Arabidopsis thaliana: one gene and its partner. The protein of the gene in region 2 interacts with the protein of the main gene of each other region in a pairwise test. Each region holds a gene or a part of one and is shown on either strand. Other genes may lie near its edges.

Region 1 (6,088 bases), on a different chromosome or scaffold from region 2:
GAGATTGATTTGGATTGCAACTCAATAAAGTGAAAGCCATTCTTTTGAAGCCATTCTTAAGAGCGGCTACGGATTTCTTTGTTAATCAAAGCAAGTAATCATATTAACTGATCGTAAACGATTCAGATACAGAAACACCTGTGTTGAGATTGATATTAGTTTTCATAATATTAGTTTCGGTTCCTTTCGGTTTGATCTTGTCCATGTATAAATATGTTTTTCTATCATTTTATAAATTTAACACTTAAACTTAAAGAATAATAATTTAAAACCAATTTAAAACTTAAATTTTAAGAAAGTAATTAATAATTTTTAACTAAAATAATGTTAATTTCACTATTATCATTTAAAAATTAGTTTAAGTATTAAAATTTTAAAACGGCGAAAACTAAACGTGTGTAGGCATGCATCCCCGTCCTTAATTGGTCCGTAAACTTTGTGGTGTTCGAAGTTCGGTAAAGCTTTCACCCAATATAGATTTGACAGTTAAACTATGTTTTAGAGAATAATAATGATGATTGATACTTGCGTTGAGAACATCTACAGAATTTATTGATAATTACAGGAGGTGATATGGCTATGATTGTTTTCACTCTTCTACCGGCAGCTCATTCTCTGTCCAAGCGACGTATCCTCCAGCAATGTCTGTGATCGCCGTGAAGCCCTGTACATGTGGCGACATTAAACCCGCTTGTCCTAAACCGGATAACGGCTATATAAATTGAAGTGATATTACACACATACAGCAGTGAGAAGATCAGTTGAGGCCATAAATGACATTTGACCGCTCTCACAACCCTGCAGAAGTAGTTTATTACGTGCATCAGAGATTTTGTGAAACAAGGGATTGTCTTCATAGGGGTTTATTTAGTCTCTGAATGTCAAAACTGAAACTTACGATTATGATTTCATCGTGTTTCCTGAAGTGGGACGAGACCTGTCTTAGAAAACTCGGGTTCTTAACCATTCCTGCAACGGTTTTGGCTTGGTGTTAGTTTTAAGTTGTTTTTCATTTTCACTCTTTCTCATAAGAGGAACCTTAAGGTCGGTGATGAAAACCTGATCCGACTCTGTACATGTAAGGTACGTTGATGGCTCTAGTCGGATGTCCGATGCTGAATTCGTCTGGTGTCCTCACGTCGAGATAGCGGTATCCTGCTTGAGCTAGCTCACGCGCCACTCTTACTGGTACTGACGTAGGAATTTTAACTGCCTCTGCTGCAACATTTCCTCTGCTTGTTGTCGTTGCTTTCCTCCTTGAGCAAGAAGTTAATACTCAGATTTAATATTTATTCATAATCTAAAATCAGATAGAGAAGGCGATTCTCGTCGTTGATTGCTAGCTTACCATCGGAAGTTTGAGTTTCGAAGATCAGCTACAATAACACCTCTTCGTGTTGGTAATTGGCACTTGAAAGATCCACATGTTTGTAGAGGTGGAGAAATAGCCGATGACCAGTTTCCAATTCGTGATGTTGTGTTAAAAGCAGTGGTTTCCATTTTCACTTCTTCTTTGAAACTTCTTTTAGAATGCTTTGATGCTACTTAGATACTTCTTCTCTTAGTTCTATAGCGTTTATATAATACATACAGACACAAAGGTATGGGTGTCACGTCAGCAAGTTTTATGTCCGATCTTCGAGTCTCTATCATTTCTATGGATAAATTCAATTATGTACCAAAGTCGATTCCAAAATGTAAACAATGCGTAGATAATGAATCATGATAAGTCCAACTCGGTGCCTCGTGAGTCGTGTTGAAGAGGATAACTTGCTGACTCGGACGGATAAGAAGACCGTAAGGCCCAATTGTGATAAACTAATTATGGATCCAAATTATCGTATTTGGGCCTCGTTTAGGCCCAATATTGAAACAAGTGGCTGAGATAGTGGAGCGGAGGAGAGAAGATGATGAAGTTAACAATGGTGGAATAGCGATTCTTCGACGACGATGATGGCGAGGTTTGTTTCTGTGTCGTCTTGTCAGTTTCATTTCGGCTTCCGTGAGGTTTCTCCTCCGTCGGTAACTTCTTATCCTAGACGATTCGAGGTAAATTCTTGTCATGTGTTTTCTTCAGTGACAGTAGTGTGTGATCGGTCATTTGAAGTCAGATGTTCTGAATTAGGTCTCTGATCGGAGATTTCCTGCGATTCCGATTAAATGTTCTTCATCTGAGCCGGAAAACGGTGAGGATTCGGCACCGTCGCTGTCTTCCTCCTCCTCATCGTCTACAAGTGAAGTATCTACTAGTAACAGTTCGACATACAACTGGTACACCGGAATCGGCGGTATTGGGATGTTAGACACTGCGTATTTGACTTACCTCAAGGTCACTGGCTCCGATGCGTTTTGCCCTATTGGTGGTGGCACTTGCGGTGATGTCCTCAACAGCGATTATGCCGTCGTTTTCGGTATTATCCATCGCTTTATTGATTATAGCGTTTGATTTATGTAGCTAATTGTCCTCTCTTTTATAGTAGGCATGATTAAATACTCGCATGTGATAGTCTCTGTGAATCTTTGCTTGAAGCTATATCATTTAGGAGCTTTGGTACTTAGTATGCATAGAATTGTTAGAGTTAAATAGCATGCTTCACTCCACTCTATGTAGTGCTTTGTCTTCGTTGTTTGTCCAACATTGCATTGCAGGTAAGTTGAACTCAATGAAAATCCTTTTTTACATTTTGCCAGGTGTTCCTCTTCCAGTGATTGGATTTGTTATGTATGGCGTAGTAACCGCTCTAAGTGCAGAGCTTGGGGAAGGGAATCTACCTTTTGGAATCAGTAAGAGCAATGGGCGTTTCGCGTTATTTGGGATCACGACTGCAATGGCATCTGCTAGTGCATATTTCCTGTATATCCTTAGCACAAAACTCTCAGGATCATCATGCCTGTATTGTCTGGTGTCTGCTTTCTTATCATTTAGTCTATTTTTCCTCTCTGTAAAGGTATCCCTTTATTTCCATTTCTTTTTTTTTCCTGATGTTGACTCAAGATAACTTCTAAACTTCGGATTATGATAATGTGCTCCATGCATGTGGTAGGATGTGAAGTTGCAAGAAATACAGCAAGTTGTAGGATTGCAGATATGCTTAGCAATCATAGTAGTTGCCTCCTTGACTGCTTCTTACAGTACTGCTCAACCAATCCCTTCACGGTAATCAAAGTTCATAGTTTTCTTTGGGGAGTCCCGATAGAAATTTTAGTCATTTGTAACGAGTAGTGAACAAATAGCTTCCGAAAGATGTATGAGTCTTATCAGGTGGTCTCTTTTAATCCCGATCGTTTTTTGTTTCACTCCTTCCAGCTCTGGTGACATTGAACTGCCATATTTTAGAACAGAGATCAGTTCATCATCGAGCCCTTATGCTATTGCTTTAGCAAAACATCTAAACTCCATTGGAGCTAAAATGTATGGGGCATTCTGGTGTTCTCACTGCTTAGAGCAAAAAGAGGTAGTTAGTTCATTCATCACCTGTTTGCCAAGAATCAGTTTTATGCTTTTATTATATGTTCATTATAGTTCCATCCATCTACAGATGTTTGGAAGAGAAGCGGCAAAAGAACTGAACTACGTGGAATGTTTTCCGGATGGATATAAGAAAGGAACTAAGATACTCAAGGCATGTGCAGATGCTGCGATCGAAGGATTCCCAACATGGATAATAAATGATAAGGTGAGTAAATCCTCTGAACCCCTTGTACATTTCATCACATGTCAGTACCTATTTCACCTCTTTTATAAATTAGGTCTTAAGCGGAGAAATAGAACTCGCTGAACTAGCGGAGATGACTGGATTCAGCCTTGATCAGGCAAATGAGACCAATCAACTTCAGTAAATTTTGTATTGGTGCAGAAAATATTAAGGTGAATCCGTAAATGTTGTTTACTTGATCCTCCTGATAGCTATAGGGTGTTCTATACAAATTCAAGTAATGAAAGTGCTTATTGTTGCCATAGGAGGTTACAACTTCATCTGTATCACTTAGCCTACACCAGAGCATCACTATTTTATAATTGAAAGATTCATAGGTTCTTCCAAAGAATGTTAGGGTACTATTAATTCGAGAATCTACAGCCATCTAGTACTGGCTTTATGTAAGTATAATGTCTAAAAGTATGGTCTATATAAGAGAGTCACACATGTATTTTGTATATATATGCGTGTAGAGTAGTAGCAGATATATGATGTATGGGAAACTTAGAGAATTACGTTTACAATATTTGGTGCCCTATTGAATACCTTCCTTGAATGTGCCTCCTCGGTATTTTTCTATTGTAATGATCCATCCACAAGTTTCGCTGTTATTATCCGTTTAATATGCAGAAGATAATGTTTTTCCTTATATTTTTTAAAAGATTCCATTGGGCATTGGATAGATATGAACATAGAGATCTTTATAATCTTTAATAATTTGTAAGCTCAGATTAGTTTAACTCAACATCGGATGGGATGATCCAAAATAACGCCCATCTTATCCAATAATCTACATGAATCATGTGATGAGACGTAACGCTTAAGGCGGGGGGCGGGAAAAGAGTCAAAAAAGGCAGTAGCCGTTAGATGTAGCAAAAACGGATGGACCAGATTAGTTGCTTAACAACGAAAGATCAAGAGAGGGCGAAAAAGGTAATAATTATTGGAATGTAGGACCCACAAAGAGGTGAGGAAGATCATGATAAAAAGGAAGATGCTATAGAATATTCGTAAGAGCCCGTCGTTTCTCCCATTACCCTCCAATTAATACACTATTTTTTTTATTTTTTTGTCTTTCCCTTTTTAAAATGATCATCATCTTCTTCTTCACTCGCCTCAATTTTTGTTCCCTTCTTCTTCTATAATTCAACTGTGAATTTCACCGACGAAACAAAAAAGAGAGAGAGAGAGAGAGAAACGATGAGTTCTCAGATTTCGGAGATTGAACAAGAGCAGCTGATCGAGAAGCTTGAGATCTTCAAGATCCATGGCAGAGACAAACGTGGCCGTAAGATCCTTCGTATTATCGGAAAATTCTTCCCAGGTACTGATATATCAATCGGATCTGTTTCTTTTTCTCTCTGTGTAGATTTGTTCTTATATTTGAGTTTTTTTTGTTTCTGAAATCAGCTCGATTTCTGTCACTGGATGTGTTGAAGAAGTATCTAGAGGAGAAGATATTTCCTCGATTAGGTAGAAAACCATTCGCCGTACTCTACGTCCACACCGGCGTACAGAGAAGCGAGAACTTCCCAGGTATCTCAGCTCTACGAGCGATCTACGACGCAATTCCGGTAAACGTCAGAGACAATCTTCAGGAGGTTTACTTCCTCCATCCAGGTCTTCAATCACGTCTCTTCCTCGCCACCTGCGGCCGATTTCTATTTTCCGGCGGGTGAGTAACTAACCGCCGCGTTTTTTAATTTTCTGGTCAACGACTTTTCTTGATACTATAGTTTTTTTTAGAAAAACGTTGATTAATTAATTGGTGTGGTGATTGGCTGCGGTAGGTTGTACGGGAAGCTGAGGTACATAAGCAGAGTTGATTATCTGTGGGAACATGTGAGGAGGAATGAGATAGAGATGCCGGAGTTTGTATACGATCACGATGATGATCTGGAGTATCGTCCGATGATGGATTACGGTCAAGAAAGCGATCACGCGAGGGTTTTCGCCGGAGCCGCCGTGGATTCATCAGTCTCAAGTTTCTCCATGAGGTGTATCTCATAGCGTAAAAGGCTAAAACTCCACCCACTAGATATCGGATCGTATCTTATAAACCATATAATATACGAATACGATTAATAATATATCAAAAAGATTGGAAATAGGTGTGCTTTTTGAAATTAGTGAGCGTTTTTTATGGAAAAGAAAAGAAAAGAAAGCAGTTGGCGTCTGGATAAAGGGAAGGAGGAGAATCTTTAGATTTTTTCTTTAATCTGTTTTTCTTTTGTCTTGATTAGTTTTTTCTTTAGTGGTGGTGGTTGTGAGTTAGTGTGTAAAATGTATATTGTCATATGTGAATTTAATAATAAGTCCTTTTGTAAGATGATCAAGGGAAAATTAGAAATTGAAAAAAAGTCATTTTAAATTTACAGCAGCAAATATGA
Region 2 (8,092 bases):
ATAAGGATTTTAAAAAATATGGCATAGGATATAATTTTTCCTAAATAATATACCAACAAACAATAATGTTATTAAAACTAAATAAAAAGTAAAAATACATTTGGCAAACAAAAGCGTGTCGCTGTTTCCTCCGATTATGGTTTTGAGAAAAAAAGAAAGAAAAAACAAAGTCTTCGTCGTCCACTCTCAAGCTCAACAAAGTTCTTGGGTCCTCCTCTCTATTATTACCACTTCTTCACCAATCCTTTTCGAAGAGTTTTGTATTCACGACATGAGAAAGATCCCAACACTACTGATCGGTTAGTACTTCTTTCTTCTCTGTCTAATAAGCCCCCAAATTTCCCAAGATTTTTCTTTTGATTTTGATTAGTAACTCCATTGTTTCACTCAATTTCTTTAGCTCTTTTCATGTTTCCTTTTCTGGGTTTATCACAATTTTCAATCTTGCTCATTATTTTCCAATAAAGCTCTAACCTTTAAGATACATAAGCTAATTTGTGTTCTTGAGACTTTGGTATTAGTCCCTCTGGTTTGATGATTATTTTCTTAATGTTGCTTGCTTCAGTCTGTTTATATTTAGATTAAGTTTATTTGATGAGCTCTCTTCTTGTTTATGTACTTTCAAATTTTAGTCTTTTTAAAACTAATGTACATGATTCAGTTTTAGTATAGGTTGGTGATTGTGTATCTTCATTAGTAGAAGGTTAAAGATGGAAGGAAAGAGATTGGATCTTAGATTTCATCACTCTACATCATCACAATCTGTGGAATCTGCTGCATTGGATTTGGATAAAAATGTTTACAATCATATTAAATTGGCGTCTTCATCGCCGCTTCAACCGTTTCCATCAGGCGCTCAGCATCCTGAAACTAGTGCTGCTGCTGCTTACTTCTCTTGGCCTACTTCAAGTAGATTGAATGATTCAGCGGAAGACAGAGCAAACTATTTTGCAAATCTTCAAAAAGGTGTTTTGCCTGAAAGTTTTGATGGTTTACCTACTGGGAAGAAAGCTACTACATTGCTTGAGTTGATGATGATTAGAGCTTTTCATAGTAAGAATTTAAGGAGGTTTAGTCTCGGTACGGCTATTGGATTTCGGATTCGACGAGGTGTTTTGACAAATATAGCGGCTATTCTTGTTTTTGTTGCTCGGAAAGTTCACAAGCAATGGCTTAATCCTCTTCAGTGTTTACCTACAGCCTTGGAGGTGAGATATCTCTTGCCTATGATACTTTACTTATAATCGTTTGCTTGTGCTTGAAAGAGTATATTGGAACTTTTAGTAATGTAGGTACTACAGCATGGAACCTATTATAGAAAACTTTACTAATGCCGCCTATTTATGTTGCCTTCTGGAATCCTTTTTTTACTTCATAGTATCTTGCTTTGATAGGGTCCTGGAGGAGTTTGGTGTGATGTAGATGTTGTTGAGTTTCAATATTATGGTGCACCTGCGCAAACACCTAAAGAGCAGGTGTATACAGAGCTTGTTGATGATCTGAGAGGCAGTGGTTCGTCCATAGGATCTGGTTCACAGGTAATTTGTGTACTAAACTTGCATATACGCTTGTATTATCGACAATATTACAATAATCATCTGGCCATGCCTCTCATCTTGTAGGTGGCTAGCCAAGAGACATATGGAACCTTAGGTGCAATTGTAAAGAGTAAAACTGGTATCAGACAGGTTGGTTTCCTAACAAACCGGCATGTTGCAGTTGATTTAGACTACCCAAGCCAGAAGATGTTTCATCCATTGCCACCTAGCCTCGGACCCGGAGTCTACTTAGGTGCAGTGGAAAGAGCAACTTCATTCATTACCGATGACCTTTGGTATGGCATTTTCGCTGGAACTAACCCAGGTAGCCTAGTAACAATGTATAGAGTTAACTCTGATGTATAATGGCGTAGCACGATTTTAATTATCGGTTTCTCTCTTTCTGCAGAAACATTTGTTCGAGCTGATGGAGCCTTCATTCCATTTGCCGAGGACTTCAATACGAACAATGTAACCACAACTGTCAAAGGGATTGGTGAGATTGGTGATATCCATGCTACTGATCTACAGTCTCCAGTTAACAGTCTAATAGGAAGAAAAGTTGTCAAAGTTGGAAGAAGCTCGGGTTTGACCACTGGGACCATAATGGCTTACGCGTTGGAATACAATGACGAGAAAGGAATTTGTTTCCTAACCGATTTTCTTGTTGTTGGTGAAAACCAGCAGACTTTTGATCTTGAGGGTGATAGTGGAAGCCTTATTCTGTTGGCTGCGGGCGATGAGAAGAACGAGAAACCGCGACCTGTTGGAATCATATGGGGAGGAACAGCAAACAGGGGACGGTTGAAGCTAAAAGTGGGGGAACAACCTGAGAATTGGACAAGTGGAGTTGATCTTGGCAGAGTTCTTAATCTTCTTGAGCTTGATCTCATTACTTCCAATGAGGGTCTTCAAGGTCTGTGTTATTACTTAGAGTCTTTTTGCAGTACTTTTAGTATACACTGTTTCCTACAAAGTCTCTTTTGCTGAGTGCAGCTGCGGTGCTGGAACAGAGAAACGGTATTATGTGTGCTGCGGTTGATTCCACCGTCGTGGAATCATCTCCTGGTGTGTGCAATATTTCCAGGTGTAAAACGGGTGAGAACTTTGAGCCTATTAACTTGAATGTCCAGCAAGTTCTTATAGAAGACGACAACTCAAACATTCACCCAGAGTTCCAAATAGAAGACGTGTTAGAATCAGTGGCTGTGATCGAAGAACACCAGTTCATTCCAAGTTCAAGCAACAACGGATCCGCACTTCATCAGAAACCTAATGGACCAGAGAATCTCGAATCCAAGAACCTGTCTTCGCTTAAGACTAGTAGCTCAGGTGATGAGATAGGCTTTTCTTTGCAGTTAGGTGAGTCAGATACAAAGAAAAGAAAGCGAACTGATTCACCAGATGGTTCTCAAGAAGATGAAGAGTGAGGGTTATGCTCATGAGACTTCATAACATACCAGAGGAGTCAATAGTAACATCACTATTATTTTTCCACTGCATTTTTTCTCCAGAGGAAAGATATTCAGAATAGCATATTTGTAATGGCTAATGCCAAGGGATAGTCAAACGTTATGAGCATATATGTGTTGGTGATTTTATGAACACCTATAATTTTGTTGTACCTTAAGAACATCTGGGAGCATAAGCAATTGCAATGAAACCTCCCAGAAGGAATTGTTATAAGTGTAAGTAGATACAGCCCTATGGATTAATTGGATTACAAAAACGCTCACAAGACGAAGAATGCCTAGTCGCTAGTCCGTAGATACAGTTGGCCAGCCTTGGTCAGCTTGAAACTTTACAAATTCAGCGAGAAGCTTGATTTCTTCGTCCTGCAACCGCGGTCCAAAGGTACATTGTCCTCTCGGTGTGCATTTCTCACCAAATCCCTGAAGTAAATCATCAGACATACTTCAGATCATCTAGCTAAGTGGAAGACAATTCTCAGTTTTATACAAGGAATTTCTTCAAGGAGATCTCACCGGCATTCTTCCCTTTCCAAAGTAGGTAACACGATATATTTCTTCCTCAGTATCAACTCCATTTCTGTAGAAAAGTAAATAAACCATTGCAAATCTTAAGAGATAACGATCTGTGTAACCGATTTTTCCTGTCAGAATATTATAGATGCACACAGCACACAGTTCTTTGAGTGTCCAGCATAAGTTATATTACCTTTCGAGGTCTTTTGTGAAAAGCGTTGCACCCTGGAAAAGTGGAAAGATATGAGCTAATTGACTCGAAGGTAATGAAAGATGACATGAGAAGAGAATCAAGAATGGTTTTTAGCTCACAGGTTGAATAATGTTTCCACCTGTATCATGACACCCGATACAAGCTCTATTAAACAATGTAGCTCCTCTCTGTATATCCAAAGTCTGCCCAAGAGATTCTACACCACAATACCCATAAAAGCAAGAAACTTTCATAAACACATTCAAAACATACTTCAGTTCCAATAGCAATTCAACGATACATTGATTACATCGTTGTTTCCAGTTACAGAATCCAGATTCCATATCAGTAGTTCCAACAAGAAAACATTCTTGAATAAAACAACAAATTCAGACAGAAATTTCTCAAAATCCTCTTCATTTTTCACAAGCAATGGGTGAGACAAGTGTTCTACAAAAATACTCTGTTAACTTATAACTATACGAATTCCTTAAAGTGAAGAGCTATTCTGTAATATTTCAATCTAAGTGCAAATACTCTAAAGGTAGAAGCTTTTGGTCGGAGGAAACAAGGGTTTACCTGGAGGGAAACAGATGGGTGAAACAGCAAGTAAAACCGCCGTGAGTGGCGGAGCTAACTTCTTTAACAGAAAGTCCAAATCTTTGTTGTGGTTTAGAGAAATTGGGTTTTTCAGTTCTTTTCCTCTTCCATTGACCTTTCGAACAATAGATACAAACTCACGTTCATGTATGAAACCATTATCTTAACAAAATGTTTACATAGAGAGAAAGAAATAGAGAACCTGTTGGGAGGAACAAAAAAGGTTGGAGGTGAAAGAAGAGGCACCAGAGAGAACAAGTCTCATCTCAAAGAATTTTTTTTTTTTTCCTTTTAACTGTTTGATATTATCCATTGCACTCTCTGTTTGATATATTATCTTTAAAGTAATAAATTGTGTCCCACAGGTTTGGATGTCCGAACAAATGTTAAAAAATCAAACAGATTATTATTAACATTGCATAATAGTAACTATCTATTCAGAATTTTACTAGGTAAATTGACCTCCCTATCATCACTAGAGTTCTTCCCTTGGGCTTCCATGTTGCCTCCGCTGCTTCTGCGAGAGAGAAACATAGTCTGAGAATTTTCCTCAAGCTTGTCCATATCAGCGAAGGTATCCTCTGGAAATAATTCGGGTATGAAAGTATCTTCTTCAACGTCAACATCGAACTCCATATTGTCCCATTGCTCCATGTCCTCCTCCTTAACCACCATGGCCGCATAAGGAGGAGAAGCAGGGGAGGAAGGCAAATGGGATTTATCCGGTCCTTCTTTGTCTTGGGAGACTGTCGATGAGGCAGAAGTAGTTACATCTGAGCATTTGGAGGAAGAGGAACGAGTGGAGCCGGCAAGAGTATTGCGTAGAGTGGGGAATGGATGGTTATGCTCAGAGATGTAAGTAATTACTGAAACATTTGGATCAGTGCGGCTACGTTCGACTTGTTTCCTAGCAAAACAACCTTTCGAGCTGGCACATCTATAGTAACTCCTGAGAAGTAAAAAGCAAAGACTTAATTAATCCTTAAGTAAACATCAAAGATTTGTGTATATATATAGTGTACCTTGGATAAGGAGAACTTTTGATGGGTTTTTGACCATACTTTCGCCAAACCCATAGGTCACTGGACCGGCTGCCTCGATCCACTACGCAAACCACTCTCTTTTCCTTGTTGTTCCTGCATCCACCGTCAATAAAAACTCATTTTAAACAATCTACAAAATGTATGATATACTACAAAAAGTAATCTAAAAACTAAGCAACCTACTTTCGGCGACTCTTTGAACGAGTGATCTCGATTTCCTTTGTTGCGATCATGGAACTCTGAATATTGTCGACTAATTTGTCAGTCTTCTTTGATTCTGTATGGAGGATTTCTTTACCCATTTGTCGTAGCAAATAGTGCATCACTATTTCCCCATTGGAAGATACACGTATGAGAGACCTATAGGCTAAGACCTTGAGCCCATAACTAACGTCCATGTCAATAATGTTAGCAATAAGTGGTGCTACCAAACCAACATCCTCGTCATTGAACAAACCCGCTATGTAAAGAAACAAAGCTTTATATATCTCCTGTAAACCAGCATATCTGACTCTCAATACTTCTTCATCTTCATTACCAGAAACCTCCATCGGATCCAAGGACAAAACTGGTGATATATTCTCGATACTTGTATTGCAGTTTACAGCAGTTATTAAACGGACTCCACATCTTGTCACTGTGCAACTATCATTTAGAGGCTTTCTCTGTTTATTGACAGGAAAGAACTCAAAAACAACTAAATCAGCCCAGATATCGGGGTCATTTCCTTCATCGGTATCTGGACGCATGTTGACATCAAAGAAGACAAACGTATGATCCCTTTCAACAGCTTTCCCTAAAGCCCAACAATGCAAATTTATTTCTCTCCTATGAGAGTGGCCTTCCTTGTTTTTCCATTTGCAAACACAACTAATGCCAAAATCAGTATCATCACAGTAACCCTCGGAAAATGCGACTTGCACCAGCATAGCAAAGCCCACAAGTGTGTTCCTCCAAGAAGGATCTAGTCGTGTCATTGAAGAAGATCCTGGTTGCAGATCAAGTTTGGAATTTTGATTCGCATGTGAGGGCGCACAGAAGCTGAAAGCCAAAGTTTTGTTGAGTTCCTGTTGCAATAATACATGATAAGTCAGATATGATATATGAAGGACCGGGCTAGATGTACATAGCAGGATGTAGTATTACCTGCTGACTGTCACGACTCGAACGCTGCACAGTCTTTTGAGAAAAGCCTGTGACATGACGCTCTCTTGGTATGTGTTTTGCAATCACATTAGCCATCGCCTGCACTAAAAAATCGTTGACCACTTGTGGAGATAGATCGAAACAATTACTAAATGTGTAATGCACAGGAAGCTTCTTGAAGTCCAAACGAATTGATTTGAGAGAGACACAACCATGGGCATTAAAGAATTCTAGACTTTGAGGAAGTTGTGGCACTTGTCTTACTGCAGTGCCAACAAGATATAACTCTTTCAGGTTCCGTGGGAAACCCTGGATAGTCTCGAGCTCTGAGCAACCAGAAAGATCAAGGGCTTTGAGAAGTTCTAAATTAACCATGTTTGGCAGACTTCGCAAACGAGAACAATCATTCAGCTCCAAGCAACTAAGCTTGCCAGGATTTTGGTAAGATGTGCTAATTTTCATCAGGCTTGTTAAAGGTTTGAGATCACTTTGCTCAAGGTTTGAGACACCTGAAAGACCCGGGATTTCAGCTAGAAGATTCAAAAGCTCTCTGTAGTTTGGCTTAACAATGGAAAGTGGTAATTCTATTATACCAGTCCCCTGTAGATTCAGTGTCTCAATATTTGGGGGAATTTCTGGGAAACTTTTGATCTCTGTGCAACCTGAGAGATTTACAACTCGTAAATGTAGCAATTGACCGGTGGCTGGGAAACTCTGCAGTCTTGTACAGCCTTGGAGATCAACTACCTCAAGATTTTGAGCTTTTAAAAGATCGTCAATATCAACTAGTTGTTGGGAATGACAAAGCCTGATTGTCTTCAACATCTCCAGGTCCTACGAAAAAAAATGTCAAAAAAAGAATTACAAAATCTGTCTTTGAGTATAGATAACGGCGAAAAACGCATATTTGAGATTGCTTACCTTGGTTCCACCCCAAAGTTTCTTAAGTTGGCTGTACGGCATGTTGATTTCAACAAGGTGTATAGGATCAAAATTTTGAGGCAGAAACTGCAGAGGATAGTTCTCCCAATGCAGGAGTCTTAGCACATTAGGAAGAGAACTGAGAGAGCCTTTGAGGAAATTGTTTACATGATGGACTTCAGGATTGGAACTGTAAATCTTGAACAATCTAAGGTTCAACATATTATCAAAGGCAACATGCTTAATATCAAAACTTAAGTTTGATGTGTCCAGAAACATGCCTTCGATCTCTTCAGGGACCTGAAAGAATATTGGAAGTGGATTATAGTAGGATGTTGGCTCATAAAATAGGTTCAATATAAAACTATTAAATGATAACAGACCTGAGCACGTTCAAAAGTTGTTTTTTGTTCTTCATTTTCGTTTTGTTCCTTATCTTCTAATAAATATTTGATGCTGCAAGGTTCCCACAGTCTGCTGCGCCTCTTAGTCTGTCTTGTTTCTCTATTTATTATTTGTCGGCCAACATCTTGGATCAAGTTATGCATCCGCACTCGGTTTTCTGAAATAGTCACCAGACTCTTCTCCACAAGAACATCAATTCCAACATGTGGAAAGAAACCACAACCCTCAAGCAGTTGCATCACGTAGTCAACATTTTCTCCC

What was found.
Region 1: the proteins of CYTC6A (region 2) and LTO1 interact in a two-hybrid assay, tested with the Arabidopsis thaliana proteins (one study listed by BioGRID).

Annotation. Positions count from the first base shown.
Region 1 is NC_003075.7:16,940,485-16,946,572, reverse strand, and holds LTO1 (NAD(P)H dehydrogenase (quinone)s), read left to right. Parts: upstream 1-1,895; 5' UTR 1,896-1,950; coding exon 1,951-2,049; intron 2,050-2,125; coding exon 2,126-2,411; intron 2,412-2,691; coding exon 2,692-2,948; intron 2,949-3,044; coding exon 3,045-3,157; intron 3,158-3,307; coding exon 3,308-3,455; intron 3,456-3,539; coding exon 3,540-3,779; coding exon of another isoform or gene 3,780-3,840; 3' UTR 3,841-4,542; downstream 4,543-6,088. Other genes in the region: SEN1 (Rhodanese/Cell cycle control phosphatase superfamily protein), read right to left, coding at 590-664, 745-798, 899-969, 1,060-1,256, 1,349-1,500; AT4G35750 (SEC14 cytosolic factor family protein / phosphoglyceride transfer family protein), read left to right, coding at 4,899-5,022, 5,109-5,373, 5,489-5,708. UniProt on the Arabidopsis thaliana protein: Thiol-disulfide oxidoreductase catalyzing disulfide bond formation of chloroplast proteins and involved in redox regulation and photosynthetic electron transport.
Region 2 is NC_003076.8:18,172,271-18,180,362, forward strand, and holds CYTC6A (Cytochrome c), read right to left. Parts: upstream 4,619-8,092; 5' UTR 4,582-4,618; coding exon 4,519-4,581; intron 4,432-4,518; coding exon 4,296-4,431; intron 3,938-4,295; exon of another isoform or gene 3,934-3,937; coding exon 3,836-3,933; exon of another isoform or gene 3,749-3,835; coding exon 3,717-3,748; exon of another isoform or gene 3,659-3,716; intron 3,588-3,658; coding exon 3,524-3,587; exon of another isoform or gene 3,431-3,523; coding exon 3,296-3,430; 3' UTR 3,101-3,295; downstream 1-3,100. Other genes in the region: AT5G45030 (Trypsin family protein), read left to right, coding at 711-1,208, 1,395-1,538, 1,623-1,863, 1,948-2,454, 2,535-2,968; TTR1 (Disease resistance protein (TIR-NBS-LRR class)), read right to left, coding at 4,746-5,265, 5,339-5,452, 5,543-6,426, 6,506-7,339, 7,427-7,726, 7,810-8,092. UniProt on the Arabidopsis thaliana protein: Functions as an electron carrier between membrane-bound cytochrome b6-f and photosystem I in oxygenic photosynthesis.